Linked DNA regions of Mus musculus. The protein of the gene in region 1 purifies or fractionates together with the protein of each later gene. This does not show direct contact. Links are inferred from orthologs where the notes say so. Each region holds a gene or a part of one and is shown on either strand. Other genes may lie near its edges.

The links.
Region 2: the proteins of Stub1 (region 1) and Psma3 purify together in Homo sapiens (affinity purification with western blotting; 3 studies listed by BioGRID, with this or other methods). This does not show direct contact. The link is inferred for Mus musculus from reciprocal best matches to the Homo sapiens genes STUB1 and PSMA3.
Region 3: the proteins of Stub1 (region 1) and Pkm purify together in Homo sapiens (affinity purification with western blotting; 3 studies listed by BioGRID, with this or other methods). This does not show direct contact. The link is inferred for Mus musculus from reciprocal best matches to the Homo sapiens genes STUB1 and PKM.
Region 4: the proteins of Stub1 (region 1) and Yap1 purify together in Homo sapiens (affinity purification with mass spectrometry; 3 studies listed by BioGRID and IntAct, with this or other methods). This does not show direct contact. The link is inferred for Mus musculus from reciprocal best matches to the Homo sapiens genes STUB1 and YAP1.
Region 5: the proteins of Stub1 (region 1) and Hspbp1 purify together in Homo sapiens (affinity purification with western blotting; 4 studies listed by BioGRID and IntAct, with this or other methods). This does not show direct contact. The link is inferred for Mus musculus from reciprocal best matches to the Homo sapiens genes STUB1 and HSPBP1.
Region 6: the proteins of Stub1 (region 1) and Bag2 purify together in Homo sapiens (affinity purification with mass spectrometry; 7 studies listed by BioGRID and IntAct, with this or other methods). This does not show direct contact. The link is inferred for Mus musculus from reciprocal best matches to the Homo sapiens genes STUB1 and BAG2.
Region 7: the proteins of Stub1 (region 1) and Nadsyn1 purify together in Homo sapiens (co-immunoprecipitation; 3 studies listed by BioGRID and IntAct, with this or other methods). This does not show direct contact. The link is inferred for Mus musculus from reciprocal best matches to the Homo sapiens genes STUB1 and NADSYN1.

Annotation. Positions count from the first base shown.
Region 1 is NC_000083.6:25,829,968-25,834,789, reverse strand, and holds Stub1 (STIP1 homology and U box-containing protein 1), read left to right. Parts: upstream 1-1,870; 5' UTR 1,871-1,936; coding exon 1,937-2,098; intron 2,099-2,545; coding exon 2,546-2,744; intron 2,745-2,828; coding exon 2,829-2,994; exon of another isoform or gene 2,995-3,158; coding exon 3,159-3,246; exon of another isoform or gene 3,247-3,424; coding exon 3,425-3,481; exon of another isoform or gene 3,482-3,571; coding exon 3,572-3,688; exon of another isoform or gene 3,689-3,779; coding exon 3,780-3,905; 3' UTR 3,906-4,156; downstream 4,157-4,822. Other genes in the region: Rhbdl1 (rhomboid-related protein 1), read left to right, coding at 1-5; Jmjd8 (jmjC domain-containing protein 8 precursor), read right to left, coding at 4,200-4,280, 4,356-4,490, 4,584-4,651, 4,729-4,822. UniProt on the Homo sapiens protein: E3 ubiquitin-protein ligase which targets misfolded chaperone substrates towards proteasomal degradation.
Region 2 is NC_000078.6:70,991,436-70,994,575, reverse strand, and holds part of Psma3 (proteasome subunit alpha type-3), read right to left. Parts: intron 2,962-3,140; exon of another isoform or gene 2,521-2,961; intron 1,564-2,520; coding exon 1,496-1,563; intron 1,071-1,495; coding exon 1,006-1,070; intron 226-1,005; coding exon 181-225; 3' UTR 1-180. UniProt on the Homo sapiens protein: Component of the 20S core proteasome complex involved in the proteolytic degradation of most intracellular proteins. This complex plays numerous essential roles within the cell by associating with different regulatory particles.
Region 3 is NC_000075.6:59,676,501-59,680,412, reverse strand, and holds the end of Pkm (pyruvate kinase PKM), read right to left. Parts: intron 2,370-3,912; coding exon 2,188-2,369; intron 1,686-2,187; coding exon 1,579-1,685; 3' UTR 1,041-1,578; downstream 1-1,040. UniProt on the Homo sapiens protein: Catalyzes the final rate-limiting step of glycolysis by mediating the transfer of a phosphoryl group from phosphoenolpyruvate (PEP) to ADP, generating ATP.
Region 4 is NC_000075.6:8,001,215-8,006,032, forward strand, and holds the start of Yap1 (transcriptional coactivator YAP1), read right to left. Parts: upstream 3,383-4,818; 5' UTR 3,177-3,382; coding exon 2,901-3,176; intron 494-2,900; coding exon 243-493; intron 1-242. UniProt on the Homo sapiens protein: Transcriptional regulator with dual roles as a coactivator and corepressor. Critical downstream regulatory target in the Hippo signaling pathway, crucial for organ size control and tumor suppression by restricting proliferation and promoting apoptosis.
Region 5 is NC_000073.6:4,678,021-4,682,283, forward strand, and holds part of Hspbp1 (hsp70-binding protein 1), read right to left. Parts: intron 4,029-4,263; coding exon 3,824-4,028; intron 1-3,823. UniProt on the Homo sapiens protein: Inhibits HSPA1A chaperone activity by changing the conformation of the ATP-binding domain of HSPA1A and interfering with ATP binding. Interferes with ubiquitination mediated by STUB1 and inhibits chaperone-assisted degradation of immature CFTR.
Region 6 is NC_000067.6:33,754,382-33,759,099, forward strand, and holds the start of Bag2 (BAG family molecular chaperone regulator 2), read right to left. Parts: upstream 3,370-4,718; 5' UTR 3,311-3,369; coding exon 3,198-3,310; intron 3,186-3,197; exon of another isoform or gene 3,024-3,185; intron 1-3,023. UniProt on the Homo sapiens protein: Co-chaperone for HSP70 and HSC70 chaperone proteins. Acts as a nucleotide-exchange factor (NEF) promoting the release of ADP from the HSP70 and HSC70 proteins thereby triggering client/substrate protein release.
Region 7 is NC_000073.6:143,812,607-143,816,869, reverse strand, and holds part of Nadsyn1 (glutamine-dependent NAD(+) synthetase), read left to right. Parts: intron 1-642; coding exon 643-696; intron 697-1,147; exon of another isoform or gene 1,148-1,194; coding exon 1,195-1,284; intron 1,285-3,428; coding exon 3,429-3,480; intron 3,481-4,018; coding exon 4,019-4,107; intron 4,108-4,262; coding exon 4,263-4,263. UniProt on the Homo sapiens protein: Catalyzes the final step of the nicotinamide adenine dinucleotide (NAD) de novo synthesis pathway, the ATP-dependent amidation of deamido-NAD using L-glutamine as a nitrogen source.

The DNA.
Region 1 (4,822 bases):
CTTGACCTGCTCCCTAGGGCCATGTGGCTAGAGCCAGGCACCAGGTGGGCCTGCATGTCTGCCCTATATGAATGGACCTCTCGGCTGCTTTTCCCCACAGGGGCAGGGGGGCCCTGTGATCCCCCACCCCCAGCTGAAGCCAAGTCTTACTGCAGCCCTTGCTGCACCCCCCCCCCCCAGGCTTTCCAGGGGGAGGGGTGTTACTGGGCCAGGGCTGGGTGGAGGACCTTGAGCGTGGCCCTAGAGGAGACCCCTTCCCTCCCCACTGACCCCAGGACTTGCAGTCTGAGCCTTTTTGGAGAATGAATAAATATTTTACACAGCACCAGGTAGCTGTCCTGGGGCTCTGCAGGCTTGTCTGCCCCCTCACCCAAGCTGTATGAGACACCTCCCCTCCAGGACGGTCTGTGCTCCCTCTCTCCCTTCAAGCTCTGCACCTGACTTGAGGTGGTAGCTTTACTCCTGGCCATGGCCGGAATCCACAGGAGGTGGGGCCCCTGGGAAGAAACTGTGGACTTCCAGGTCAGTCCAAGTTCAGCAATCGTTTATTGTGCTACAAGAGCTTCCAATCTCCTGTTCTTTCAGCCTCCCTTCCAAACGCAAGCCCACAACAGAGCTAGGTTCACTTGGCCTGGGTCCTGTAATTCTTGGCAGGTCCTTGTGGGAGGCCCAGTCAGGGTGAAGGTCAGGCAGCAGGTCTGGGCATACATCTGCCCCCCAAGTTTGCACAAGACGAAGAGTCTACAACTCTAAGACACTCACTAGTGAGGTCCACAAGGGTTCTGGGGTCAAGTTACTAACCACCAGAACCATGATGGGGCCCTGGATGACCTCTCAGGCCCCGCTCAGCCCCGCTCAGAAAGGCAGTGAACTCTTGCACCTGGGCTAGAAACAGCAAGTAGTGCTTGAGTGTGTACTGGAGGGTTAGCAAGCTAGGAACTGTAGCCACCGCCTCTTCGTATATGAAAGCTGCAACCCCAGAAACCTCTGCCTCCAGGACCACTGCAAAGAGTGACAAGGAGGTTCTGGGGATAGCTTTTTTTGAGCTCCTAGAGCCCCCACCCAACTTGGGCAAAGATGCTACCTACTCACTCGAGGCAGTGGCAGAAACCACGCAGCGAAGTTTGACTGCGGCGCCCAGATCAGCAGAAAGCCGAGTTCTGCTTCTCCAAGTCCGGGGTTGGGGGTGTTAGCGGCCAACAGCTGATGCAGCAGCGGCTAGAAATGCCTCAACGACAGACCATGGGGTCAAAGGGTCTTGGTGCAGGCGCTCTCCAAGGAAACCAGCCGGCTCCGCCCTTGAAGAAGCTCCTCCCCATGACCGCGAGAAGGGCAAGAGTCCAGCCGTGCACCCGCAGCTACTTCTATAGCAACCGCAGAAGGTCCTTCGGTGTCAGCGTGTCACGTGCTTGTTTCTCAGCCATTAATGGCCGCAGGCAGCTCCTCCCGATTCCCGAGGAAGCCCCTCGAGAGCGGTCTGATCTGCGGGCCTCTCTTCTACCCTCAATTCCGCCTTCCTACCGGCGGTCCAGACGTTCCCAGGCTGTCGCGTGAGCCCGTGTGTGCCCTGGTGGTGCGCTAGGACCCGGGCCTAGTGACCGGCCCTCGGAAGGCCACTTCTCAATGACCGCTGCCACGTTCGCCCAGCTTGGGGCCGGAGGGCGGGGCTTGAGCGCCGATGGGCGGAGCCTTGGTCTGAGCAGGGTAGGTCTCGGTTACTGTAGGGCGGGGCCTGTAGAGCGCGGCGGAAGCTTCTCAGAGCTAAGGGAACTGGCTCAATCCACGAGGCTCCGCCTTTGCTCACGTGTCCCCATGCCAGCTCCGCCCCACACCGGAAGTTCCGGTGGCGGATCGCCGACCGGGCGGAGCTGATCGCTGCGCGGGCTGCGAGATCTAGGTGGCCGGGCGCGGAGCCCAAGCCGTGCCGCGCGGCGCCATGAAGGGCAAGGAGGAAAAGGAGGGCGGCGCGCGGCTGGGCACTGGTGGCGGCGGCAGCCCTGATAAGAGCCCGAGTGCGCAAGAGCTCAAGGAGCAGGGAAACCGGCTCTTCGTGGGCCGCAAGTACCCGGAGGCGGCGGCCTGCTACGGCCGCGCCATCGTGAGTGCGGGAGGGGCGGGGGCGGGGCCCGATGTGCCTCCCAGTTTTGTGATCCCGGACAGGGTTTCTGGCAGCCTGGACTCGATGGCTCGCTCGCTCCCCTGGTGCCCGGATTGCTGTTCCCGAGTCTAGGGCTGATTTGACTGGGAACTGGCGGGCGGGATGCTTGATTAAGTAAGACTAAGGATGACACCAGGAGCTCTTGCCCCTTGAGATTTCCAAGCCCAGAGCTTGTAGAGGGGTTGTGGGATTTCTCTCAAAAGCAGTTGGAGGCAAGAAAGCATGGCCAGAATCCAGAGCTCTTGATAATTCGGAAATCTCCAGTTCCTCTATTCCAGCCATGGGCCCCCAAAGCTGGAGCATTGACCAGATCATTGGCTTTCAGCTTGCTAAATGAGAGGGGATCAACTGAGCCCACACTCTTTGACGCCTGGTCTTGGTCCCCAGACTCGGAACCCACTTGTGGCAGTGTACTACACTAACCGGGCCCTGTGCTATCTGAAGATGCAGCAGCCTGAACAGGCACTTGCTGACTGCCGGCGAGCCCTGGAGCTGGACGGGCAGTCTGTGAAGGCGCACTTCTTCCTGGGGCAGTGCCAGCTGGAGATGGAGAGTTATGATGAGGCCATTGCCAATCTGCAGCGAGGTGGGCTGACAAGATGCAAGGTTGAGGGCACCTTGGGGGACCAGGATTGTTGACAAGTGTAACCAAAAGTGTCCACTCCCCTAGCCTATAGTTTGGCCAAGGAGCAGCGACTCAACTTTGGGGATGATATTCCTAGTGCCCTTCGCATTGCTAAGAAGAAGCGCTGGAACAGTATCGAGGAACGGCGCATCCACCAGGAGAGTGAGCTGCATTCATATCTCACCAGGCTCATTGCTGCTGAGCGAGAGAGGTGGGTCCCTCCCCCAGCAGACACTGAGTCACCAGCACAAGTGTTTTTATTGAAGGACAACAACCGGTACATGGGAAGCCCAGGAGGAAAGAGGCCTGAGATGGGGCGGGCTCTGTGATTTCCTGGTCAGGGCCATCACCAACTAGCTTCTGGTTAACCCTCAGGGAACTGGAGGAGTGTCAGCGGAACCACGAGGGTCATGAAGATGATGGCCACATCCGGGCCCAGCAGGCCTGCATTGAGGCCAAGCACGTGAGGGTGCCCCTAGTCCACATGTGGGTCATTGTGTGTGTGTTTGTGTGTGGCATGAAAAGTGCCCCAGCCTTTGGTGGATCTGTTGGCCCATGCATGACATGAGTGCCCTGGTGGACAGAGTGTGTGTGTCTGTGTGGAGACAGGAGTTGCCCACACATGGCACTCAACTCTGCAGGATAAATACATGGCAGATATGGATGAGCTCTTCTCTCAGGTGGACGAGAAAAGAAAGGTGAGGACCCCCGGAAGCTCATCGGCTGCTGCTGGTATGGTGACCCCCACAGCCCCCTCCAGTTCTAGACATTTTCCCCTTGTGCTATAGAAGCGAGATATCCCTGACTACTTGTGTGGCAAGATTAGCTTTGAGCTGATGCGGGAACCCTGCATTACACCCAGTGGTATCACCTATGACCGCAAGGACATTGAGGAGCACCTGCAGGTAAGGAGGGCCCATGGAGACCGGGCCATGGAGAGCCTTGGTACCCGGATCGGTATACTCAGGCCATTGAACACTCTTGACTCTGTTGCAGCGTGTGGGCCACTTTGACCCTGTGACCCGGAGCCCTCTGACCCAGGAACAGCTCATCCCCAACTTGGCCATGAAGGAAGTCATTGACGCTTTCATCTCTGAGAACGGCTGGGTAGAGGACTATTGAGGCCCCATGTCCTGCCTGGCACCCTGGCCCAGGAGGATCTGGAGACGGAAGCTCCAGTCCCTGTATAGTTTGTGTCCCTGGGCCTGCCCCCATCGGCCCTGCTGATGGGTTCTGAACTGCTCCCCTTCTCAGCATACCCCTTGCTGGACCATGAGCCTCCCTTGTCCCCCTTCTGGGCTGGAGAGTGGGTGAGGGTGGGCTGAGGTTGCTGCTGCTGCCACTGTCCTGTAATAAAGTCTGTGAGCACTACATTGGCATGTGCTGGTGCAGTGGGCTTGCCAGTTGCCTGTCTGGCTAGCCAAGGAAGGTAGAAATGAAGACACTGGTGTCCAGATTGAGTGTGGCATGCCACCACCGATCAGGAAAATACAGTACCTGGGAGAAAAGAAAAAAAAAATTTTGATTCATGGCTTTTTGAGTTAGCCCAACCCCCACCTACCAGCTACTGACTTCACCAGCCTGGATGGTACATTCTAGAGGCCGTGCTGACAGGGCTAGAGATGGGTATATTTCCAGCAGCCAGGCCAATGTGGTCTTGTTAGGGTGGAACTCAGGTGTCTTCTCAGGAGGGTAGAGGAACCAGCGCTGGAGGCAGGAGTGTAAGGTCACTATGTGTGCAATGGACTATAGACACCAGATTTACACACACACATAACACACACATAACACTGTACTGACCTTCCGACCATAGATAACCTCTGAGAAACCAGGCCCATGCCAGTGGAAGGGTACCCCAGATCCAGCTCCTGTGGGGTCAGTTATGAATAGCTGATGAACAAAATATATATGGGCTCCCCCAAGTTTGTTTTGAAGTAGCCCCTACCTGCAATTCCAAAGCTGTAAGCAGGGGTGGTTCCCAGGAGACGGAATGGTGGCGGAGAGTAGTGCTGGAAGAGGGATGCCCACTCAGTGAAGTT
Region 2 (3,140 bases), on another chromosome or scaffold:
TCTAAGAATTTTTAATCAAACATCAATCTATATTTTAATATTACACAGATAGCTTCAATTACCCAACAATGTTTATAAGACAAAATTTAATGAAAATCGGTCAGTGGGTATATATAGTCCATGGTGCTAGCCATATGCAACTGTTACAGAAATGTAAACCAGCGGATGGGGAAGAAAATATTACATATTGTCATCATCTGATTCATCTTCTTCCTTCAAAGATTCCTGTTAAAAGAAAAAAGTGTTTTAAGTTTTTCATTCTGGTACATCCTATAGAATCTGCACTTTTAACATCTGTAATTAAAAATTATTTATTCCTGAAAAATACCACATTTAAAGATAACCCAATAAGTCTATATTGTCCTATGGATAAAAGCATTAAATGTCCTGGAAGGAAAAACCTGGAATTTTCTTTGCTTTTTTTGTTCCCGCTCTTTTTGGCTTTTAGAGACAGGGTTTCTGTGTTTTCCCCCTCTGACCTAGAACTTGCTTTGTAGACCAGGCTGGCCTTGAACTGAGAGATGTTCCTGCCTCTGTTCCCTTTGCTGTGAATACAGGTGATACACCATGCCCAGCAACCCTGAAATGTTCAAGGAGACAACTCCTTTTTTTAAAGAGGCAAACACCAACAACAAAAAATAAAAAATAAAAGTTTAGAGCTAGGGCAAATCTATCCCCACCAGAGATAACCTTAAAGAGAGTAACCTAGGGGCTGGAGAGATGGCTCAGCGGTTAAGAGCACTGACTGCTCTTCCAGAGGTCCAATCCCAGTTCAAATCCCAGCAACCACATGGTGGCTCACAACCGCCGGTAATGAAATCTGATACCCTCATCTGGTGTGTCTGAAGTCAGCTACAGTGTACTTAAGATATAATAAATAAATCTTTAAAAAAACAAACAAACAAAAAAACCAGTAATCTAAAAGACAGTTTACCCTAATTTCAAGCAAACATCAACCAAATTACTTCATTACCACGATCCTGTTCAGAACAAGTTGCTGCTTACCTTGGCATATTTCTCTGCTTCCTCTCTTATGTCTTTGGGAACAATTTCATGTCTTCCTTTAGTTACTATAAAATCAAACCATATATTAAATATGAGGATTATAATTTGTAATACTGTGAACTCGCCCTAATCTTCAAGTGCATAGAGATCATTTCCTGTTGCCTCCTCCCCCAAATAATCATTATTCACAGGTGAACTCACTTAAAAATAACAGTAAGCTTGACTTATAAATCGGTTTTTTTTTTTGTTTTTTTTTTTCTTTTTTGTTTTTTTGAGACAGGGTTTCTCTGTATAGCCCTGGCTGTCCTGGAACTCACTCTGTAGACCAGGCTGGCCTCGAACTCAGAAATCCGCCTGCCTCTGCCTCTGCCTCTGCCTCCCAGGTGCTGGATTAAAGGTGTGTGCCACCATGCCCGGCAAGAATTCTTTCATTAACTTGTCGTAAAGTGCAAATAAATTCTAGAACAATAAATGTACAAATGTAACTTACATTCACCAACCCAGCTGAGCTCCAGTTCAAAAGCTTTATCCTTAACTTCATCGTGTACTATGTAAATTCTACAACAGAAAAGAAATTAACACAAAATAAACACAAGTTCTATAAACAGTGAGTACAAAGTAGACGTTGTGTGCCTGGTATTTATAAAATGACATACTCTCCAGCCTAGTTCAACCTTAGAAAGACAGATTAGGAGCTGGAGAGATGCTCAGTTGTAAGGTCACTTGGCTTTGGTTCTCAGCATACACAATGCTGACTTAGAACCCACATCTAACCCCACCACTCCTCTCCCCCAATCCAAAACCCTCTCCAGTCTCTTACAGTCAGACACAGTACATGCAAGCAAACTACTTATACACAGAAAATAAAAGTTTTATTTTCCTTAAAATGGGAAATTACACTGGAATTGAGACACTCTTTACAAATACTGATATACTTCTATTTCTCAAGTTGTTTATTTTGAAGCCGGGCGTGGTGGCGCACGCCTTTAATCACAGCACTCGGGAGGCAGAGGCAGGCGGATTTCTGAGTTCGAGGCCAGCCTGGTCTACAGAGTTCCAGGACAGCCAGGACTACACAGAGAAACCCTGTCTCGAACCCCCCCCCCCCCAAATAAAAAAAAAGTTGTTTATTTTGATAATGGTTTAAGGCTTCAAATAAAAGACATCTCAGAAAGAAAACAGATTCAAATTAGAAAGACCATATGCCTTTTCATGATACCCATTTTTTCTATTTGTAAACATATTTCAGAAACAAACCAGTAATTTAAACCATCTGTCCAGATAGTGTCAATGCCACTCAAACTGGTTCTTATGGTGTAATACATTACAAACAAGAAGGCACACAAGCAGTTACAGTAACAGTAAACAACTGAGCTTCAGCTGGCAGCAATGGCTCATGACTGTAATCCCAGGAGGTTAAGGCAGGACACTCCTGAATCTGAGGCTGTCCTCAAAATGACAAAAACCTCCCTATGATAGAAAAACAAAGCTTTCTGTTTCTTTTCTTACTTTTAGAGGCTCTGCTAAAGCCTTGCTGTATAGTACAAGAGAGCACCTTAGTTACAAGGATGAAAAGATGGCTTTCTGAAGAGGAACAAGTACTACCAATCACAAACTATGAAAGGTGCCAAAGGGTTGACTTCCAACAGGAACTTCAAAGACTATTTCAGCAACAGACCCTGGATTGTACCATACTCAAACTATTTAAAGGAATTACTTTCACTTTCCAATGTAATATGGTTCTTAACTGACTTAAAAAAGGAAGACTGCTTCATAACAGAAGGTAAATGAAGAGAGATGAGTCTTGGTAAGAATGGGAATAGTAAGAAACAAAATCCCTTTGTGAGAGATTATAGGCACCATCTTTTATTATGATAGAACCCAGATTTTTTTCCTTGTTTGTATTATCAAATGCAAAACCTGAAAGATACTATTACATAAAGAACCATATTCAGCAATACTGTAGTTTGTGTAGTTTACCTGAAAAGGCAGCTAGAAAGCGAGTACTCTACACAATATTTTAACAGCAAGTGTCTGCATTCTTTAAAATTAATTTTTTGGTTTTTGTTGGGTTTTTGAGACAAGGAAGGGTTTCCCTGTTTAGTCCTGGTTGCCCTGGGATTGCTCTGTAGACC
Region 3 (3,912 bases), on another chromosome or scaffold:
ACACCTCACAGCCGGGCGGAGGCGCAGGGTCCAAGCCTAAATTTCTGCGGTTGGAAGTGCCCAGCCGGGAGGCAGAAGGCGCCTAGGCGCGGCATTCCCAGAGTCGCCCTGCCCTTCGTCGCAGCCTCCTGGACCTGGAGCCCCGGGACGCCTCCCTTACCTGCCCGCCTCGACAGGCTCGCTACGGCTCAGGGCGGTCATCGCAGCGCCTTCTCCGGGAGCCCGAGGCCGTGCGCCAGACCCAGTGCCCTCCGGGGACCGCCCACCCCGGGAAAGGCCCGCCCCCACACGCCTATTGGCCGCTCGCGCAGAATGAGCCTGGCTCAATTGGTGGAGCCTTCCCCGCTCCCAGACCGCCCTGATGGGTCCCAGCTGCAGGTAGGTCTTCAAAATTGTGAGGTCGAGGAAACCAGGGCCTGGGTCCTCAATTATGGGACTTCATATCAAAATGTTCCCTCAGGGCTCTTCATTCTACTCCGCCTTCCAACCTCCTTACCTAACCTGAGCTCTTGGTGCTGCAACATCTCAATTTCAGAGGCCTTAGCCTCTGACTAGGTGGCTGTTGGGAGTTGCCAGGGACAAGGGTCCCACCTTGTTTCTATGTACCTTATTCCTGAGGGCAACAGGAAAACAAGAGACCCTTTGTGCTTAACTGTTATGGAGGCTGAGGGTTTTGTGAAGTATCCAATCAGGGACTCATCCTACAGCGCCCTCAACAGGCCTCTACCACAGGGATCAGCCCACTATTCGACCATTCTAGGTGCTAGCTGAACCTGTCCCAGACTTTTCTAGTATTTGCCCTGAAATAGAACGGATCAGCTTCCCGATACACAGCCGCACTTTGGTGCAGGAGGCAACTTATATACTCCCAAAGTATTCAGTCTCCGGCGTCTCCAGTGGTCCCGTGCTTGAAGGTTATCTGGTGGATCCATAGCACCCAAGGCCAGGCCTCCTGGCTGTTGTCATTCTCAATTGCTCAAAGGGCAGGGCTCGACCACCACTACCAACCCCCGGAAAAAAACAAAACAAAACACAACACAGGTGCTTCAGCTGCTGTTTATTGACATTCAGGTGGGCACTATAGCAACAGGCCTGGAGACTCTGCAGAATACAAGGTGGAGAGTGGAGTGTCTGCAGTGACAGAAGTGGAGTGCACAAGAAGTGGGGAGGCCAAAGCTGTTGGGAAAGCAGGTCAGGGCCAGGGCCAGAAGTCGTCATCTACACTGGGACCCTGGGCCCCACACCCTCAGCCCCTACTCTTTTGCTGTCTCCTGACTCCAGGCTAGGGCTGGGAATTCTGACAACTTTCTACAGAAGCAAAGCCCAGAGATGCTGCCGCCCTTCTGTGATAAAGTCAGGGTTTCCAGTCCTGCATTCCTCCTCCACCCCTGGCTCAGGTAGGGCCCTGAATAATAGCTGGTCTCTATTGCATGTTTTAGAGGCATTAATTTTCCCTGGTGTCCCAGCCCACCAGCGCCACACTATGGCCCAGAGTGAGCACTACAAGCGTTGCTGGCCTAATGGAAAGGATAGGGGAGGGGAAGGGACAGGGGCTAGAAGAGGGGCTCCAGAGGGCCATCAAGGTACAGGCACTACACGCATGGTGTTGGTGAATCCAGAGCCAGGGCGCCACCCGGTCAGCACAATGACCACATCTCCCTTCTTGAAGAAGCCTCGGGCCTTGCCTGGGGGGAAAAGGAGGTTGGTGAGTAGAGGTATACACTTGAGGAAAACTGCAAAGCCCCACAGTCCTAATTGATCACACAAAGTGGCACTTTTCCCAACCCAGACACAAATCCAACAAGGCAGGTGCAGATAACTGCCCTAATAATCCTCGTCTGGGTAGGGGAGCAGGTTGACAGTTACTTCTTCTCACCACAAGATGGTGCAAGCCTCCTAGCCTAAACAAGGGCTGAGGCTGAACTCAGAATGCAGAGACCTTTGGACACCATTCAGTTTATACTCTAGAGAGTCAGGGTCAGCTGCCTCCTTGTCTCTATATAGGAATAAGGCCACAAAAGCTTGTGTTCCCCACCCTCTAACCCCACCCTGCTCAGGACAGTAGCTCCAGCTAATCTTACAACTGGGTGATAAAACAGATAGGCCCAGCCCATGACTTCAGGAAGTGGTAGTTTTAGGGTCCCCATTTATTAGCACTTCATCATTCCCTTGTTTCCAGCTACATACCAACATCCATGGCCAAGTTTACACGAAGGTCGACATCCTCAGCCCAGGCATTCAGCACGGCATCCTTACACAGCACAGGGAAGATGCCACGGTACAGATGGGCCTGGCGAGCAGTCTGGGGATTTCGAGTCACGGCAATGATAGGAGCCCGAGGGCGGTACCTGGCCACTTGGTGAGCACTCCTGAGATGGAAACAGGTTGGAAAGACTGACCGTTAAACATGTCATAAGACCCTTTCAGTAAGCCTAAGCCAAAAGTAATACCCTCTAATTCAACTCTGGACCACAGGCTTTGCCCACTGACAACTGTTTCAAGGTCTGGCCTGCCCCTCAGACCTGTCCTGTCTTTTCTAAGATGATTATCCTGCTCTCAGTATGGGCAGTCCTATAGGAGCATGGCTGGTAGAATTCTTCCCACAAATGAACCCTTCCATCTGGCAGTGAGGCAGCTTTGGCCCAATCTCAGCAGAACCCACTCCTGTAGCTGCCAGCAACTTTTACAATCCAAGTACCATGTGCCTAGCTCCTGACTTCTTCTGCAAAGAACAGCAGCAGAGTTACCAGGCCCTGGAAGCCAACAATGTTCACCATAACACTATACTGTTCTCCTATGGGAGTCCTAGCAGCTAATGTTAAAAGAAACCTCAGAATTTCTATGGTTTTAGAAATCTGGGTGGTAGGGCTGGAGAGATAGCTCAGTGGTTGGGAGCACTGACTGCTCTTCAGAAGGTCCTGAGTTCAGGTCCCGGCAACCACATGGTGGCTCACAACTATCCATAAAGAAATCTGACACCCTCTTCTGGTGCATCTGCAGACAGCTACAGTGTACTTAGATATAATAATAAATCAATCTTTAAAAAAAAAAAGAAAGAAAAAGAAATCTGGGGGCTGGAGAGATAGCTCAGCAGTTAAGAGCACTGATTGCTCTTCCAGAGGGCCTGAGTTCAATTCCCAGCAACCACATGGGATCCCAGCAACCATCTGTAATGGGATCCGATACCAATGTCCTCTTCTGGTATGTCTGAAGTACGTGTACTCATATAAATAAATAAATTTAAAAAAAAAAGAAAGAAAAAGAAATCTGGGTGGTGATCAGGTGTGGTAAGAGGAATATCTGGCCATTCAAGATCCCCTGGGAATGTAGGGAACCCCTATTCTCAACCTGTAACAAATGATAGTGTCTATCTCTATCAGATTACTCAATTAGCTAGGCACGGGGGACTGAGGAATTCCACAGCAGAGCTTCATGCTAGCCTGCATACATAGGCTTTGAAGGAAGGAGGTAGCTGCTGGAACCAGGAACTCTTCAGAGAAACCCCAGAATTAGCATAGACCTTGTATTTTAGAGCTTTCAAAACTCCAGGACTAAAAATGATAGTTTTAGTGTCCCCATTTCTCAGTACCCCATCATCCCTGGCTTCCAGCTACATACCAACATTCATGGCCAAGCTTACACAGAGGCCACCATCCTCAGCCCAGGCCTAAGTAGCTTTCTGCTACTTAGTTCATGAACACTGCCTTAGGGAGACAGACCAGTGCCTAGTCCTCCACACTGATTTTACATGTGTTTGGCTTTCTGTAGCTAGGCTGTGATACAACTTGCTCTTTCTTCCTCTGCACCATGAGCACTGGGGCTACAGGCACACACCACCACACTTGGGTATTTTTTATCTATCTATTGTGCTATATAGATAGATAGACACTGGGCACCTCACTCTCTCCCTCC
Region 4 (4,818 bases), on another chromosome or scaffold:
AGACAGAGTGTGCATATGTGTGTGTGTGTATGTGTGTGTGTGTGTGTATAGAGAGAGACACACACAGAGCGAGTGAGCTGGGGTGCAGCTCAATGATAAAGTATGCTGGTTTACCATTTATAAGGCTGAGTTCCATGTTTAGCAACAGCAAAGTAATAAATAATTGAATACTGTTTTGAAAAAGACAATAAATGAATAAAGCCACTCCCACACTGCCTCTTCCCAGCGCTGTCTTCACTTACTTTAAGAAGTATCTTTGACCAGAAGATGTCTTGGCCATCTCCCAGCCTGCTGGCAGTGGTACATCATCAGGGATCTCAAAGGAGGACTGCCGGAGATGCTGAGCTGCAGGGGCAGCGGCAGGGCCAGAGACAACGCCACTGGCTGTGAGTGTCCCAGGAGAAACGGCACCCAGCTGCAGGGAGGCTGGAGAGGAGTGAGCTCGAACATGCTGTGGAGTCAGAGCTCCCGCAGTACCTGCATCAGTACTGGCCTATCAGGAATAGCAAAATGAAAATTAACAATAGAGACAACAGCACCTACCCCTAACTTCCAAACAGTATGTCACGGCAACCAAATATCTAAGTATCAAATGTAAACTTTAATGTTTAATTTCTTACACAACAGGAACACACCAGACCAAATAGACCATTACAAAAATTTAATAGGCATTATAAATGTTATTTTACTGATGAACAGTCCATCTGGATGAATGTCTACCTCCTAGACAGTGTGAAAACAACAAATACTAGGCATAATAACTTTATTTAGTGGTAAAGAATAATGCTCATCCTACATAACTCAAAATAATCAGTACTTTTCTAAGCAGTGTGGTTACTTTTCCAGGTTCTAGAACAAAACCTGGGGAACGACTGGGCACTTTTTTCTTTGTTGTAAATGTCTAATGTTCCCCCATCTTTCACTTTTTTGACTGTAAACAAATGTGATAAGTCAGCCATTATAAATTATACAACATTTAATAAATTCAAACTCTCAGAACTGCACCAATGCTAAAAGCTCCTCAATGAAGAGAATAATAGGCTAGCCCTTTTTGTGCCTAGAGAAAGACTTTTTCAATTCAATTATAATTTGTGGATTCACACACTTATAATAGCTGGGTGAGGGACAAAAGAAAAATCTGCAAAGACCCCAATGATTCAAATTTGGGTCCAATCAGACCAGTGTTAAGACAGGGGTCAGGAATAAACTTGTGTGTAAATGAGCTTTTCCAAGCGAGAGGATATAGGGCTAGAAGACTTCTCAGGCAGGGGCCTGTGGATGATTATTTACTAACTCTGATACATACCATTCACAGTCCAATCCTTTTATTGGAATTAGGGTTTCTCAAAACGTTTTTCTAGATTTATGTTGATAAGGAAACTGAAAAGACCCAGCAGTCATTTAAAGCCCCATAGGAAAACCCCGTTTTTGAGTTTCCAGATAGATTGAATTTTAGGAAACCATTAGCGCACAGAAAAGGTAAATTTATTGACGAACAGCTCTCTTAAAACGCTTAGAGAGAATGCAAATGTACCCACGAACGGCCCAGTGGAAGCCAGTATTACAAGTACACTTTCCCGGGTTCATTCCTTCTGACTTCTAAGTGCTACAAAATGGAGCGTTCAATCTGTGTATTCCTTCAAAGTTGCCCCAGCGGTTTCTCGATTGCATGTCACATACGTTTAGTTCAGCGAGTACAGAAACTCACTTGTGGGGGAGGGAGCAAATAGTATCTAGGTCTACTGTTGTTACAAATTAAGAGTTTATTTAGCCGAGCAGCTAGATAACTTTTCCTTCCTTCTTAAGAGGCTTTTTGTAGGGAGGTTAATCGAGATTTTCGAAGCTTCAAAAACCCCGTTCTACAACAAGCCTGCCTAGGAGGGGGGGCTGGAGTGGGGGCGGCAACTCTTCTTTCCACTCAAGTTACAGCCCGAGTGGGCTAACGACATGGCAGTGTTTGGAAAACCAATTAAGTTTTGGGCAAAGTTCCTGTGCTGCTTTAGCCTAAAGCAAGTTCTTTAAAAATTAAGTAATTAAAAGCGGGGGGAGCGACACTAAAGAAATCTACCAGGACCTATCGGAATGTTAATACTTTGAAACGGTTTCACTTCTGTGCTGGATCCAGTTGGGAAAATAACCAGGCGTCGTGGATACGGATAAGCAGCCATGTTCACATCCGCAGTCAGTTAAAGAGCAATGGCGAGCTTGGAATTAGTCATTGCTTCCCAAACATTACCTTTAATCACAGTTGAGCCGGGCAGAACTCGGCCTATGAGTCAACCTGCAACGCGCTATCAAAGGCCGGCGCAGAAACCTCTGCACCGTGAGCGCAGCCGAGCTCCTGCGCAACACACAGACGTGGCTCATTTAAAAGCTTTCGGGCCGAACAGTAAATAATAGGTTACGATTTAGGAAAAGGACACGTGAGCCCACCGAGTGTGAAAGGATCCCGCCCGCGCGAGTTCCAGGGCACGGCGGAGGCGAGTGGGGGGTCGAGGGAGCTTCGCTCGGGCTGGGGAGCCCGAACCCTGCATCCGGAGAGCGCCTGGGCCGCGAGAACAGAAAAGCTTTCGGGAGAGGGAGGGGGAGGGGACCGGGAGAAGGAACCAGAAACTCAATGGACCAGTTCAACCCCCACCCCTCACCGGCACGCGAAAACAAGAGGGCAGTTAACACAGCTCCACCGGAGACTGCAGTGGCGCGGGAAGGGGAGATCGGGTACCCCCGGCTGGGGTCCCGCACAAGACGCCGGCCCCCTCCCCCTCCTCCCCTCCCCCTCGTCAGAGCGAAGGTGCGGAGCGGAGGCGCGCGCATTGTGCACCCCCCCTGCGGCCAACTCCGCGAAAACAACCCCCAGCACCGCACCCCCACGCGGCCCCGCGCCCCCGGGATACCCTTACCTGTCGCGAGTGGGACTTGGGCTCAGGCGGCTTGAAGAAGGAGTCGGGCAGCTTGCGAAGCCGCATGGGCACGGTCTGAGGCACGTTGGCCGTCTTGGGGTTCATGACGGCATTGAAGAGCGCCTCCAAGTCGGTCTCCGAGTCCCCGCGGACGTGCACGACCTGGTGGCCGGCCGGGGGTGCGGGCGGGGCCGCGGGGGTCCCGGCCGGAGACACGGACGGCGGCGCGGGGCCTTGCGGGGCCGGCTGGGGCGGCGGCTGTTGCGCGGGCTCCATGGCTGCGGCCTCGTTCGACGCTCGGGGCACTGCGCTCAGGTTCGGGGGGCTGCGACGCGCGCCCGCATCGCCCTGCACTCCTTGCCCGAGGCCGCCTCCCCTCTCCTCCCCTCCCCTCCGCGAGCTCCTTCCTTCCTCCCTTTCTTTGCCCCCGGCCGCGGCGGCGTCCCAACTGAGACAGAAACTTTGGCTCCAGACGCCCAAACTAAAAAGTTGCGAGGAGCGCCCGCCCGCGCGCCTCGCGGGCTCCGCCTCCTCGACGCTCTTCCTTCCTCTGCGCGCCCGCCCGCACCGAATCCGCGGCCCGCGGCCCCCGGGGAAACTTTCCCTGCGCGTCGCTACATTCCTGCAGACTCCCGGCCGCACGTGACCCGGGGGCGACCGCGCTGCGTGCGCACCCACCGGCCGGCCCCGAGCCGCTCGGCTGCGGGCGCAGATCCTGCCGGACCCGCGCGCAACGCCAAGGCCGCGAGGAATCGGGACAACCGGCTTGGTAGGGTGGATGCAAAGGCCACACTGTTCACCCGCACTAAGGTTAATCCGGTCCGCGTTTTAACATTGATTCCATTTACCACCAAGTTTGAAGAAGAAACAACAAAACACTTGAGGGCGGGTGCAAATGATTTCAAAGTGAAGCTTGGAAACCAGGAGTTGCACTGGGAGTACCTTACAAAAGGAAACAGTATTACTTTTTAAATTTTGTTTTAAACAGGCTTTACTCTGTAGTCAAGGATATCCTCCAACTCTTTGTGCCACAGCTTCCACAGACAGCTAGGATTCCAAGCCAGGGCCTCTGCTAGCCCGGTTTTTGTAGGTTCATAGGTTCGTCCTTTTTCTTTTCTTTTTTCTTTTTTTTCTTTTCTTTCTTCCTTCCTTCCGCTCCCCCTTTCTCCCTCTCCTTCCTTTTTCTTCCTTTTTGTGTTTCTAATTATGTACAAGTGAGCACAGGTGAAGGTCAGAGGACCATTTGTGGGATCTGTTTTCTTCTTGGTTGTGGGTCCCAGAAATCGAGCTCAGGTACCCTGAACCATCCATCTCATGTTGACTACCCTATTTTGCTGTTTTGAGTCAGGTTCCTATGTAGCTAAGGCTTTCCTCCAATTCACTACATAACTGAGGCTAGCTTAAAATTTCTGCTCCCCCTACCTCAGCCTATAAAGGGCTCAAATAACAAATGTGGGGCACCTTGCTCAGCAAACTTTTTTTTTTTTTAAGTGAAAAGTCAATTTTTTAACACCAAAACTTGACATTTCTTTGGGAACTTCAACTCAAAACATAAGTCACTGTTTAACCTCATGGAGCATTGTGGGTTTTCCTCTTGTGTTTAGTACAAGGGTAAACAATGCAGGGTAGACTAAGAAATGAACCTCAATGGAGATTACCTTAGCCCCTGATTCTCTGTGTGTCAGTCTTTTATCTATCAGGAGCCTATCTGGAATCACTCCAAAAATGATAAAAATCTGTTCGTGTTTTTTAAGTTAATTATTTTGTATTGGGTGTTTTGCCTGAGTTTATGTCTTTGCCTTGGTTCCACAGAGGTCCAAAAGATGGTATTAGATTCCATGGAATTGGAGTACAACTGGTTGTGAACAGCCACGTGGGTACAGGGATTCGAACCTGAGCCTTCTTAGGAACCAGTACT
Region 5 (4,263 bases), on another chromosome or scaffold:
CAGGGTATTCATTTAGAGACAGGGTATGAGAAGAAAGGCTGATGAAAAGATTTGGAAGTGAGTCAGGTCTGTAGCTAAGGCTCAGTTGGTAGAGTGCCTGCATAGCCTTCATAAAGTCCTGGGTTTGGGTCTTAGCACCACATACAATAGGCATAGTGGTACACTCAGCACTAAGAAGGAGGCAGTAAGATCCTAAATTCAAGGTCATCCTCAGCTACGTAGAAGTATTATGCCTTCCTGGTTTACATAAGACACTGTCACAGCCGGGCGGTGGTGGTGGTGCACGCCTTTAATCCCAGCACTTGGGAGGCAGAGGCAGGCGGATTTCTGAGTTCAAGGCCAGCAGCCTGGTCTACAAAGTGAGTTCCAGGACAGCCAGGGCTATACAGAGAAACCCTGTCTCGAAAAACAAAAGCAAAACAAAACAAGACACTGTCACAAAACAAGAGATTGGGAGGAACTGGGGGTACATGCCTATTACCCCAGCTACCTAGAAAGCCAAGACAGAGCAGGGTATACTAGTGCACTCCTAGCACTTGGGAAGAAGAGGCCAGTGGATCTCTGTGTGTTTGACTCCACCAGACTGATTTATTATATTATATATATATATATATATATATATATATATACATACTGACTGATTTATTATATTATATATATATATACTTACTGACTGATTTATTATATTATATATTATATATATACTTAAATTCCAGCACAGACAGACCTGCATAGTGAGATTCTGCCTAGAAAAACAAAAAAAAAACAAAAAAAACAAAACGCTGAGACAGGAGGATTAAAAGTTCTGCGTGGACTTCAGGAGTTCAAGGTTAGACTCAGCATCTTTCTGAGACCCTGCCTCAAAGCACGAAATGCAAAGAGGGCTAGCAATCTAGCTCAGTCGAGTAGGCTTGCCATACTCAACAAGTTCTGAAACCTGGAGGTAATACTGCAAAATACTGTAATGTCCTGAATGCTGCCCAGTGCTGGCACAGCCTGTAATTCCACCTCTTAGAAGGTATAAACAGAAGGACAGTCACAAATTCAGCGTCAGCTAGGATGTTATAGACTGTCTGGGCAGTAGTGGTGCACGACTTTACTCCTGGCACTCAGAGGAGGCAGGCAGGATCTCTGAATTCCAGGACAGCCAGAGCTACACAGAGAAACCCTGTCTCATAAAACCTCCCTCCCAAAAATAGTAAAACAAAACAAGAAAATTAAATAAATAAAAGAGATGGATGCTACAGAATTATATACTCAAAATGGTTACTTCTGTTGTGACTTTTTAACATTTACATATTTATTTATATTTATTAGTGGTGTGTGTGTGTGTGCGTGTGTGTGTGTGTGTAGGCATACACATGTTATGTACGATTTTAAAGGTCAAGGTTCTGGGAGGTGTTTCTCTCTTCCCATCATGTGAGTTTCTAACAAACTCAGGTCACTGGGTGGCAACACTTTTTCCCACTGAACCCTCTCACTGGCCCATTTTGTGATTTTTTTTTTTTTTTTACCTTGATAAATAAAAGTAAAGTTTAGAAACTCGGCCTGGGGGTTGGCGAGATGGCTCAGGGGTTAAGAGCACTGACTGCTCTTCCGAAGGCTCTGAGTTCAAATCCCAGCAACCACATGGTGGCTCACAACCACCTGTAATGAGATCTGACGCCCTCTTCTGGAGTATCTGAGGACAGCTACAGTGTACTTACATATAATAAATAATAAATAAATTAAAAAAAAAAAAAAAAAAAAGAAACTCGGCCTGGTGACACACACCTGAAATTCCAGCACCGGGGGAGAGGAGAAAAGAAGATTAGGAGTTCAAAGCCAACCCCAGGTACACAGCAAGCATGAGGGTAGCCTGGGCTGCCTGAGAATTTGTCTCAACAACAATAACAAAAAAAATGTGGGGCTTGAGGAATGGCTCAGAGATTAACAACACTTGCTGTTCTTGTAGAGGACCCATATTCGGTTACCAACTCCCACATGGGCAGACTGCAACTGCCTGTAACTCCAGTTCCAGGGGATTCAAAGTTCTTCTCTAGCCTTTGAGGTTACCAGATATGCATGTGGTGGTACACACAAATACATACATGCAGGCACTCACACATAAACATAAAACGTCTTTAATCCTAGCTCTCAGGAGGCAGAGGAGGGGGATCGCTGTGGGTTTAAGACCAGCCTAATATGTATACATAGTGAGTTCTAGGCCAGCAAGGGTAACACAGTGAGACCCTGTCTCAAAAAAGGGGGAAAAAAAGGGCTGGAGAGATGGCTCAGTGGTTAAGAGCACTGGCTACTCTTCCAGAGGACCTGAGTTCAATTCCCAACAACCACATGGTGGCTCACAACCATCTGTAATGGGATCCGATGCCCTCTTCTCGTGTGTCTGAAGACAGCTACAGTACACTCATATACATTAAATAAATACATACATACATAAAAAAGGGGGAAAAAGGGGGGGTGGTTATAGAAAGATGGTTCTGTGGTTAAGAGCACCAACTGCTCTTCCAGAGGTCCTAAGTTCAATTTCCAACAACCACACGGTGACTCGCAATCATCTGTTATGGGATCCAATGCTCTCTTCTTTAAGACAGCAACAGTGTACTCATATAAATAAATCTTTAAAAAAGAAGGAAAAAAAGCTGGTTGTGGTAGCAAATGTCTTTGATCCCCCTTTAATCCTAGTACATGAGACACAGAGGCAGGTAAAATACCTGTGAGTTTGAGACCATCCTGGACCACAGAGTTCCAAGCCAGCTAGGTCTACATAGTGAGATCTTGTCTCATTTAAAAATAAATAAATTATATATACATACATGCATACATACATATGAATGTGACCTACAGAATGCACCTTGACCATGGATACTTCAATGTCATTGCTTACCCTAGACCTACACGTGTCCGTCCCACTCCTTTGACAGGAGGATGTCTGTCTGTTCTGATCACAGTAGCACCATCCTACCTCAACGTTTGCACTAGCTATTCCTACTGCCTCGAATGCCTTTTGTAAAGCAGGAGTACCCCATGACATACCCTCACTCGGGTGATATACCCCATGACATACCCTCACTCAGGTGATATACCCCATGACATACCATCACTCAGGTGATATACCCCATGATATACCCTCACTCAGGTGATATACCCCATGACATACCCTCACTCAGGTGATATACCCCATGATATACCCTCACTCAGGTGATATACCCCATGACATACCCTCACTCAGGTGATATACCCCATGATATACCCGCACTCAGGTGATATACCCCATGACATACCCTCACTCAGGTGATATATCCCATGATATACCCTCACTCAGGTGATATACCCCATGACATACCCTCACTCAGGTGATATACCCCATGATATACCCTCACTCAGGTGATATACCCCATGACATACCCTCACTCAGGTGATATACCCCATGATATACCCGCACTCAGGTGATATACCCCATGACATACCCTCACTCAGGTGATATACCCCATGATATACCCTCACTCAGGTGATATACCCCATGAAATACCCTCACTCAGGTCTCTGATCAAACACTCTACTTCCAGGCGGCCTCAGATTACCACTCCATCCCAAACCACCTCCCTTCCCTTGAGAGAGTAGCAAGCAAATTAGGGAGTCAACATCAGTCCCAGGACTCCTCGGGAAGTAGCAGAACAAATCTGTCACCACAGGGACTTGGTGGGGTATGAGGAGGGCTTTGTTCCTGGGAGGAGCTGCTGGTTCAATACAGGAGAATTGGGAAAGGGCAGAGCCAGACAGCATGTGGGACAGCCTGGGGAGTACTGAGGGAGGAGGGTACCTGCTGCATTGTCCATGTTCTCGCACAGGTCTGCCAGCAGCTCTAGTGCGCCTTCACGCTCCTGCTGGTCAGTGGCCAGCTCAGCTTCGCCAGCCATTGCGGGTGTGGCCTGGGACAGGACCCGGAGGCAGTTCTTCATCTGCTCCACCTCCTCTCGCTGGCCCCGGAAGGCGGCCGACATGGCTTCCTGCAGCCATTGGCGTCTCTAGGGAAGAAGGGAGAAGGATGGGGGTAGAAGATGTCTCTCAGTGACTGCCCAGGGAGTGACACTAATAGGACAGCCAAATGCAAGGACTGATGGCTCTTTCCATCAACAAGTATCTAGGAGACATCTTGGGGGAAGCACAGGAGTCTCTCATTCTATAGTGCAGTCTGGCTTCCCGCTCACAGCAGCCTTCCTGCCTCAGACTCCCAAGTGCTGGGATTAACAAGCAAGAGCC
Region 6 (4,718 bases), on another chromosome or scaffold:
CACACGCCGGTTTCACAGTGGCCAATCTGCACGTACTGTCATGAACACGGGCTCATTTGCCAATGACAAAATTGCGTGCTTTCATAAACAGGGAGGTGGCCGCCACTCATCTCTGTGGATTTATGCGAAGGGGGCTTTTTCTAAAACACATTCTTAAACTCATAGACCAGGCTCCATGTGAGACCCTCAGCATCCCGATACTGTCAGGAATTGGTTTTCCCAGTCATCAAAATGCTTGTATTTCATTCACTGTCAGCGTGAATGAACCACTAACCAGTAAGGCAAGGCACCTAGTCCCTCAGTTTCTTCCACCCCTATCCCCGGACAGGGTCTCATGTGTCCCAGGCTGACCCAGAACTCCTTATGTAGCCCAGGATGACCAAATCCTCACAACTCTAGGATTTGGGCTACAGGCATGAACCACTATGCTGGTTTTCTGAAGCCAGAGATCAAACCTATGTTTGTGAATGTGCTAAACAAACATCGTTCCAATTAAGACCCATCGCAGCCCAGCGCTCTCATTGCTAAAAGATAATGCCTTCCTTTCCCAGGGGCTTTATAAGGTTGAAATTACAGTGGTTGAAATTACAGTGTACACGAAAAGTGTTCCTTCTAAATTACAGACTGTTACTCCAAATTAAGTATGGTGTCAACTTGCTTCGTGGGTCCTGGAACACTGGCGCATCCGAACAGGAACCTTAAACAGTAAGAAACCAAAGCAGGCGGGTGGCCCGTTTCCCTGGCTCCCGCTGGCAGTCACCCTTTCCTGGCTGAGTGAACTGGAAAGGAGCTGCTCACTGCGGGCGGGATCGGTTTTGGGAGATGTGTAAAGAGCCAGCCTTCCAGCCCTGTCAATCATTTATCCCTCCTTGGCCAATGTCCAAACCCCAGGCCCGGAGCAGCTACTCGATAACTGGCACGTTCTAGGTCTTCAAGGTTTACTGAATCAAATGCTAAATCGATTTTCCCCTCCTTTAGTAAAATCATATTCATTCATATATCAGCTGGACAGTTTGAAAAGTGATATTCAAGACCAGGACAAATGGTGTTGGTCTGAGCAGCCGGTCTCCCCGTGTTCCTAGGCGAAGTCCACTGCTCTGGACTGAGACACACTGTATATATCTGAGCTTCAAGTTCTCATCTGTACAATACAGATAACGGTAACTCCCACAGAGACACGCGGCCTAGCCTACAGACTAATGCTAACGTGGATTATTTACAACCACTGAAAAGTACAGTATTTAGCCTCAGCATGTGCAGAGTCCCCATAGAACTGGTCATGAAAATCAGGAAAGGACAGGATTATCTTTTTAGAGAAAGCACCACAGGAAAGGAGATGTAGTAAAAAAAAAATTTTTTTTAATGTAAGGATATTTTAATGTAAAAATGTTTTTAATTGTAATATTATAAGCCATTAAAAACCAATGGCACCCTTTACCAGCTTGTAAAACTGGGCTAAACATTTAAAAGCATTTTCAATGCCCGGAAGATCAGTGCATCCTGCAGGACAGAAAGCCTTGGGTGTGGTTTCAGTCTTACAAGGGAGCAGGCTTTTGCTGTTCACAGAACCCATTCACCTGAATGGAAGATGCGCACTGGCGACAATCCAGTGATTTCCGGTAGTACCCCGTCCACTGTTGTCCTCAGACGTGTACACTAAGAAAGCTAGGGGGAAGTCACAGGAGCATCGTCCCCATTTTTAAAAAGTCTAATTTTGAATACTGTCATGCTCTGTGGCACTGTCCAGATGGCTTCTAAAAAGGGCCCCTAAGCCTTACCAGGCAGCATCTCTTTCTATTTCTTTGCCCCTTCTGACACACTTACTTCTAAGTGCTCATTACATTTTTAAGGGAGAAACAAGACTTACAGAACTCTGCAGTTACTGGTAAAGGCCTTGAACCATTAAACACAGAAATAAAACCCCTTCAGCGCAACTGTTAATAAGTAACGTAATTTAATCGCTTATGTTTGGTAGTCAGGATTCCTTTGATAGTAATCAGACACTAGAATGTCTATGCAAACTCCAGACTTTCAAGAGGCCCCCAGGAGAAGAGCAAGGACTCGGCACACAGGCTTGATTAAGTAAAGGTTCAGAACAATGACTCAGCTTGAAGAGTCACAACTTCCTGAACCCTTTCAAGAAAAAAAATCGGAGCAGTTGGGAATATACTGTCAAAGGTTAGAGCCTACCTCGCACAAGGAAACATTCTCGCCCCCTTTCACAGCGCAGGTCCCTTTGTCTCCCGGAGTTGGGGGATATAGGGTTCAGGTTTCTTTTGTGGCTACTCCACAGTCAGTGAAAGTTTTCTCACCTTCTGGCTCTTTTCTCCTAATAGTAACAGTAATGAGCGCCTCCCGTGTAACGAACACTGCTTGCATTTTTTTTTTCCTGTGCAGACACACTTCCCTGTGTTTGGTGGCTGCGTGGAGGGAGATTCATCTCCCTCTTATAATTTTGGGTCATAGTGTTCTGCTTACGCAGAACCCGGAGAAAACTAGGGAACAACGTGTGTGTCAGGGCATCTTGATAAGATTTTCATGGAACACCTGCACATGATCAAAACTTGCACAACTTTGAAGACATTAACATTTCCACCAGATACATAAGGCTCACGTGGTTAAAGCCAACCAAGTGTTCACAGCATTCGTTAGTAGTATTCATGAGTTAGAAATTTTACGACAAGGCTGTCCCCGTGTCAGAATCTTAGGGAGAGTGTGACTCCTGCCTTTGGTGTTTTCGGGCCTGCGATTGGCACTTCCAAGGTGTCAGCCGTGTCTTCTAAATGTACAACAAACACGGACAGACTGCAGAGGGCATTGCACGTGGTTGAGAGAATGAAGGATGGTATCCAACTTCGGTGTACCTCGCGCGGTCTCTCATGAGTCCGATTCTCGATGATCCCCAGGAGGGGCCGTCCTGGATACTACCACCCCCCCCTCCCTTACACTTGTATTACTATGAAGTGATCTGGGGCAAAGAAACTTACTCCAGTGTGGGGTGAGGGGGGGGGGGGCACACCAACCTGCTGCCTCCCTCCTGGAAGCAGAAAAGTTAAAGGCAGAGGGGGACCGCGCAGAAGATTCTGGAAGTTCTGCAAGCCGCACTCGCTCGCCAGTCTGCCGGGCCGGGGGAGGGGAGCCCAACCGGAGCGCGCCCCCGCCCGCGCTCGCCCCTGTGCGCGCCCCGCGGCCCTCACCTGAGCTCCAGCTGGTCCAGACTCTCCAGCAGGCGGCTGGAGCGGTCGGCCATGGAAGACGAGCGGCAGAAGCGGCCCTCGTGGGCCTTGGCGCTGATCTTCGCCTGGGCCATGAGCTCCGGGGGTCCTCGGCGTCCGCGGGCAGCAGTGGCGCGAGCCGCACGTCGCCGTCACCACGGGCGCCGCTGACGCGGACGGCACCGCCCCCACCTCCCCGGCTCTCCACCCCCGAGGCCGTGCGGCCAAACAAGGGCAGGCGCGGTCGCAGCCGCGGGCACGCCAGGGTGGGGGACCCTGCCCCGGCGCCCAGGGCCTCGGCCGGTCCTCCCAGCACCCACGGTTCACAGCAAGGACGAAGTGGGTGCAGCCCGTGAGAAGAGGAGACAATCCAGTGCACCCTAGGGCAGTCTCTACTTGTTCGACCTGTCCGGTGACCAGGCAGGCTCGGGAGAGGACAGGGAAAGCCTAGACCACAGGCTCCAAATAAGGAGAAGCCAAGTGGATCCGTGTTGTCTCCCCTTTCCAATGAAAGGATTATTACTATCACACATAACTTGTTTAAACCCTCTGCGAATGATATTCAGTAGGCTTAGATGTCAGAAGCTGCAGAGGTCAGTAGGTCTGAAATACGAAGCCGCATCTTAAAGTTGTGTTTTGTCCTCTCAGTGTACAGGGTACAGAAAATGGGAAACAAAGTACATTTACATCCTTTACCCAGAACTCAAAGCCATTAGATTACTGAACAGAGACAAGCCCCTTAAGTACAGTTTCTAATCCTGTCCCCACCACACCCCGAACACATCTTAATACTAATAAACGGTGGATTATCTTGGCTTCATTAAACACTGTCATCTCACGATACAACCGTGAAATCTGAACATTTTGTGGACATCTTGAAAGTCTGAACTTGGGCAGGTCTCAGGTCTAATGCTCCTCTGGAGGCTGACAAGTTGTGTAACGTGGGCCAGGGTGGATTCAAGGCTAGGCTGGGTAGCTTCAGCAAGTGTCAAAGGAAAAATAAAAGTGGCCGCAGACATAGCTCTGTTAGGTTGGCAACGAGGCCAGGCAGATGTGGTGGTTTGAATGAGATGCCATCTGTGCTCTCTAGCACTTGAACACTGGGGAGGCCTGGGTGTGGCCTTGCTGAAGGAAGTGTATCACTCCCCGTGGGCAGGTTTCAGAAGACCAAGCTATTCCCAGTGTCTCTCTGCCTCTGCTTGGGTTTGAGATCTGAGTGCTCAGGACATGTCTCTGCAGCCATCATAGACTCAGACCCTCTGTATCTAAGTCCAATTAAATGCTTTCTTTTACAAGTTGTCTTGGTGGAGGTGTTTTATCACAGCAGTAGGAAAGTAACTAAAATGGCAGGGATCTTCATATGTTTGTTTAAATGTCTCCACACGTTGAACACGCACAGAGGCATCTCCAGTCTAAGTTACTACGGATATGCTCCTGTCTAATGACACGCCTATGCTCTTTTCCTTATATAAATTATGACTTTAAACTGAGCATGCTTTGGAA
Region 7 (4,263 bases), on another chromosome or scaffold:
GGTGCGAACTCTGAGCTTTAATGAAGGGCTTGCTGTGCAAGTCTGAGGATCCCAGTTAGATCTCCAGGACCCATGTAAAAGCCCCACATACATTGGGATGCTTTTGAAACCCCAGTGCTGAGAGGTGGGGTAGAGGAATCGCTGAGTCTGGGTCTGCGAGTCCCAGGCTCAGTGAGAGACCCTGCCTCAAAAAATAAAGTGGAGCGGCTTGAGAGATGGTTTAGTGGTTAGAGCACTTTCTGTAAACTCTCTGAATTCAGTTCCCAGTGCTCGACAACTTCAGCTCAGGGCATCTGACACCTCTTGCTTCATGCACATGCCCAAGTGTGTGTGCACTTACGTATACACATGCACACAGATGTGTGCACACAAATGTGCATACAAGTATTTGTGCACATATGTACATGCACACATGACCATACAGGCACAAAATTAAAAGTAAAGGTTAATCTTGACAAACAAGATGGAGCTGAATAGGAGGATGCCTGATGTTGACCTCTGCCATCCACATGTGTATGCATGGGTGTACACCTGTGTATACACAACATAAGAACACTTGACTCTGTGGTCAGTGCCACTGCCTCTGCTTGCTGTGCTCATGTGACAAGATAGACACACATCTATCCTCCCTCCTTTCTGCAGGCCTATAATGCACCGGAATGTTCGCTACAACTGCAGAGTCATCTTTCTCAACAGGTAGGTAAGGGCAGCTGGCATACCTGTGCCTGGCTCTTGTTGGGGATACCTTGAGAGGTGCCCCTTAGTGAGCACAGCATACTGGCCCAGCAATTCCTATGACTCTCCTTCTCTGGGACTCAGCCACCCTCACTCAGGCTAGAGGAGGAGACTCAAGGTTGGGTTTGTTTGGGCTTTTTATCCTTGCCACCTGGACAATAGATAAGGTGGGGGAAGTCTCCTTGCCATGCCCCGCCAAACCACCCTCCACACACCAGGCTACAGCAAAGTGCACATGTTGGGTGGATAGAGCCATGGAGTATTTCTTCCCCCACCCCAAACAGAAACCTTTAGCCTAGAGAAAGGGAGGAAGGAAGGGAGGGAGGGAGGGAGGGAGGAAGGTAGGTAGGTAGGTTTGCTCAGGGCCCTGGTCTTGAGCCAGCTCAGTAGCCTTATCTTATCCTATGGACAGATTTTGTGGCAGAAGTGTGGTGTGAACAGTTTTTTCACCTGCTGTAGGAAGATCCTGCTCATCAGACCCAAGATGGCCTTGGCCAACGAAGGCAACTACCGGGAACTGCGCTGGTTTACCCCCTGGACCAGGAGCCGGTGAGTGGCAGGTTCTTCAGCATCAGTGTAGTCCCAGCCTCACACTGATCACTAAATGTCCTCTGCACATGCAGCCTCGGCTGGGAGGTGAGCCACAGGACACTAAGGGGGTGGTGAGGCTGGGAGGACTGTTCCTGCCATTCAGACATGGTCAATTCCATGCTGTCAGTTCAAATCTGAACCAGAAGAAACCATAAAACCTCAGTCACCAGTCAGTGGCACTGGTCACTGGTCACTCTTAAGTGGACGGACATTGTGTCTCAAATTGTTCTTTATAGCAAAACTCTCAGCATAGTCCATTTGACCTTTGGGAACAGGTCATTCTTCATTTGGGTTGGGGGAACTGTCCTGTGCAGTATATGGTAGTCAGAGGTACCTCAGCCTCTGAGTAGAGTTTATTAACCAAAATTATCCTGAGCTAGGTAGGCATGGTTGTGCACGCCGTTCTTCCTGGTGCTTAATGTCAACCTTGACTACATAGCAAGCTCCAGGTTAGCCTGGGGAACATGGAACTCCACACTTTACCAAATGTTTCCTAGGGGGCAAGATGCCCCCATTTGGGAAGCCCTGCTCAGAAGAGTTACTCTGAAGAGACACCATCACTATGGTAATTTGTTTAAAAGTAAGCATTTAATTGGAGCTTGCTTACAGATTCAGAAAGTTAGTGCAGCTTCATCTTAGCTGGGAGCATGGCAGCACACAGGTAGACATGGTGCTGGAGAACTAGTTGATAGTTCTACATTCGGATCCACAGGCATCAGGAAGAGAAAGCCCCTTGGGCCTAGCTTGGGCTTTTGTAATCTCAAATATATGAACCTACTAGGCCACACCTCCTAATAGCCACTCCCTAGGTCAAACATATTCAAACCCCCACATTCCATTCCCTGAACCCGTAGGCTTGTACACACACACGAGTCTATGGGGACCATACCAAGCCATAGCATAATGCAAAATACATTTAGTCCAACTTCAAAAGTCCCATAGTCTATAACAGTCTCAACAGTGTTATAAGTCCAAAGTTCAAAGTTTCTCCTGAGATTCATCCAATCACTTAACTGTAATCCCTTATAAAATAAAAACCAGAAAAGCCGAGTACATGCCTCCAATGTCACAGAATATACATTACCATTCCAAAATGTCATAGTTAGGCTCTTGGTCCAAATATTATTATTATTATTATTTAGTTTGTTGAGACAGGGTTTCTCTGTGTAGCCCTGGCTGTCCTGGAACTCACTTTGTAGACCAGGCTGGCCTCAAATTCAGAAATCCACCTGCTTCTGCCTCCCAAGTGCTGGGATTAAAGGCATGCACCACCACTCCTGGCCTTGGTCCAAATCTTGAGGAATAGTGACCATGAAAAGCTTAGGTCCAGGCAAGATGGAACATGCCTTTAATTTCAGCATTCAGGAAACAGAGCATGCAGATCTCTGAGTTCTGGCCCAGTAAGGAGTTCTCCATGCTAATGAGGTACCTAGAGCCCCCAAAGATTTGACCAATAAGCTTCCCTGCCTAGACATTTCTTCCTACAAAAGGTATTTAACCTCCGGTCCACCCTGAGCAGTCGGTATGCATCCATTTTCCATGATGAACAACCAGTGAACAGTTTGGAGCCAAGGACTGTCCCTTTCACCTACCACTACCCATGGCAGTGGTCGATGAAAGAGAAGGTGTAGAGAAGGCCTTTGCCTACAGAGCCACTGCCTAAGTCTCCCATAGAAGGCCTCTCTGCACTCCCAGCCATAACTGCCACTAAGCTAAGGACAATCAGTCACTGCTGAGCTAAGGCAGACCCCCACCCCATCCTCAGCTTTCGGGCCTTTTCTGTTCTTGGCTCTTCGGCAACTTCCAGCAGTGTCTGAGAACCACCTCAGGCCCGGCCTTGTCACAGGCCTAGGGACCTGTGACACTTCGTTCTGACCCCTCTGTGCGGCACCCTATGGACGACTGGGTGCTTGGGCAGCTTTGGCTTTCGCACATCTCAGACTGCATTTTCCCAACCCTGGAGCACCTTGTTGGCTGCTGCGTGGGATAAGCGCAGTCAAGCACTTCGTGTGTTTCACCTCCCCAGTGGCAGTGCCTCAGCATGGGGTGGAACTCGGACCCCCACGTCTCAGCTTTTCCATGCTTTGATTCTTTCCTTTCAGACAAACTGAGGAATATGTCCTCCCTCGGATGTTACAGGACCTGACAAAGCAGGTGCATCCTCCCCAGGGCTTCCTGCCAGTGCAGGCTGAGGGTGGGACGCAGGAGGAGCTCTTGGGTAGAATCAGATCATAGCTGGGTAGGTGGGAAGCACAGAGTGGAACTTCCATGGTGAGTGTCAGAGATTACAAACCAGGCTGCAGGAGTCAACCCTGCGAGTGGGTAGACTCCGATTCAGGGACAGTTCTAGGAAACCATAGACAATCAGCTGGTGGTTGGCATATCTCTGAGCTTTGTCCCTCTTTTTATATTGTGGACCTGGGATTCTGGCTCTTTTTGCAGCCTTGGTGAATGGTGACATCCTTGGTGGCAGGAGATGGAGTGGAGGAGAGGCCTGTTGCAGCCATAGTAAAGCTGTACGGGGAAATAGGAGTAGTGGTATATGCTGGGGCAGGGTACACCCATGGTGAGGAACGAAAGCCTTAGGCCTAGAACAGTATGTCAGCCTTCAGGAAATCAGACCACGATGTAGCACAGTATGTGGCCCTGGGATCTAAAGCGGTCTCTCCCTCCCCACCCCACCCCCCGCCAGAAAACTGTGCCCTTTGGAGATGTGGTACTGGCCACCCAAGACACCTGTGTCGGGAGTGAGATCTGTGAGGAGCTCTGGACACCACGCAGGTCAGCCGGCTCTCTGTGCCATCCGTTCCCCATCCTGGGCCTGCCAGTGGGAAGACCCAAGCTTTGCAGTTAAGGTCATGTCCTTAACAGTGGAGGTCCCTCCAGATAGATAGCTAAAGGGCTACAGGAACCACTCCACTTGACTCTCTCCACAGC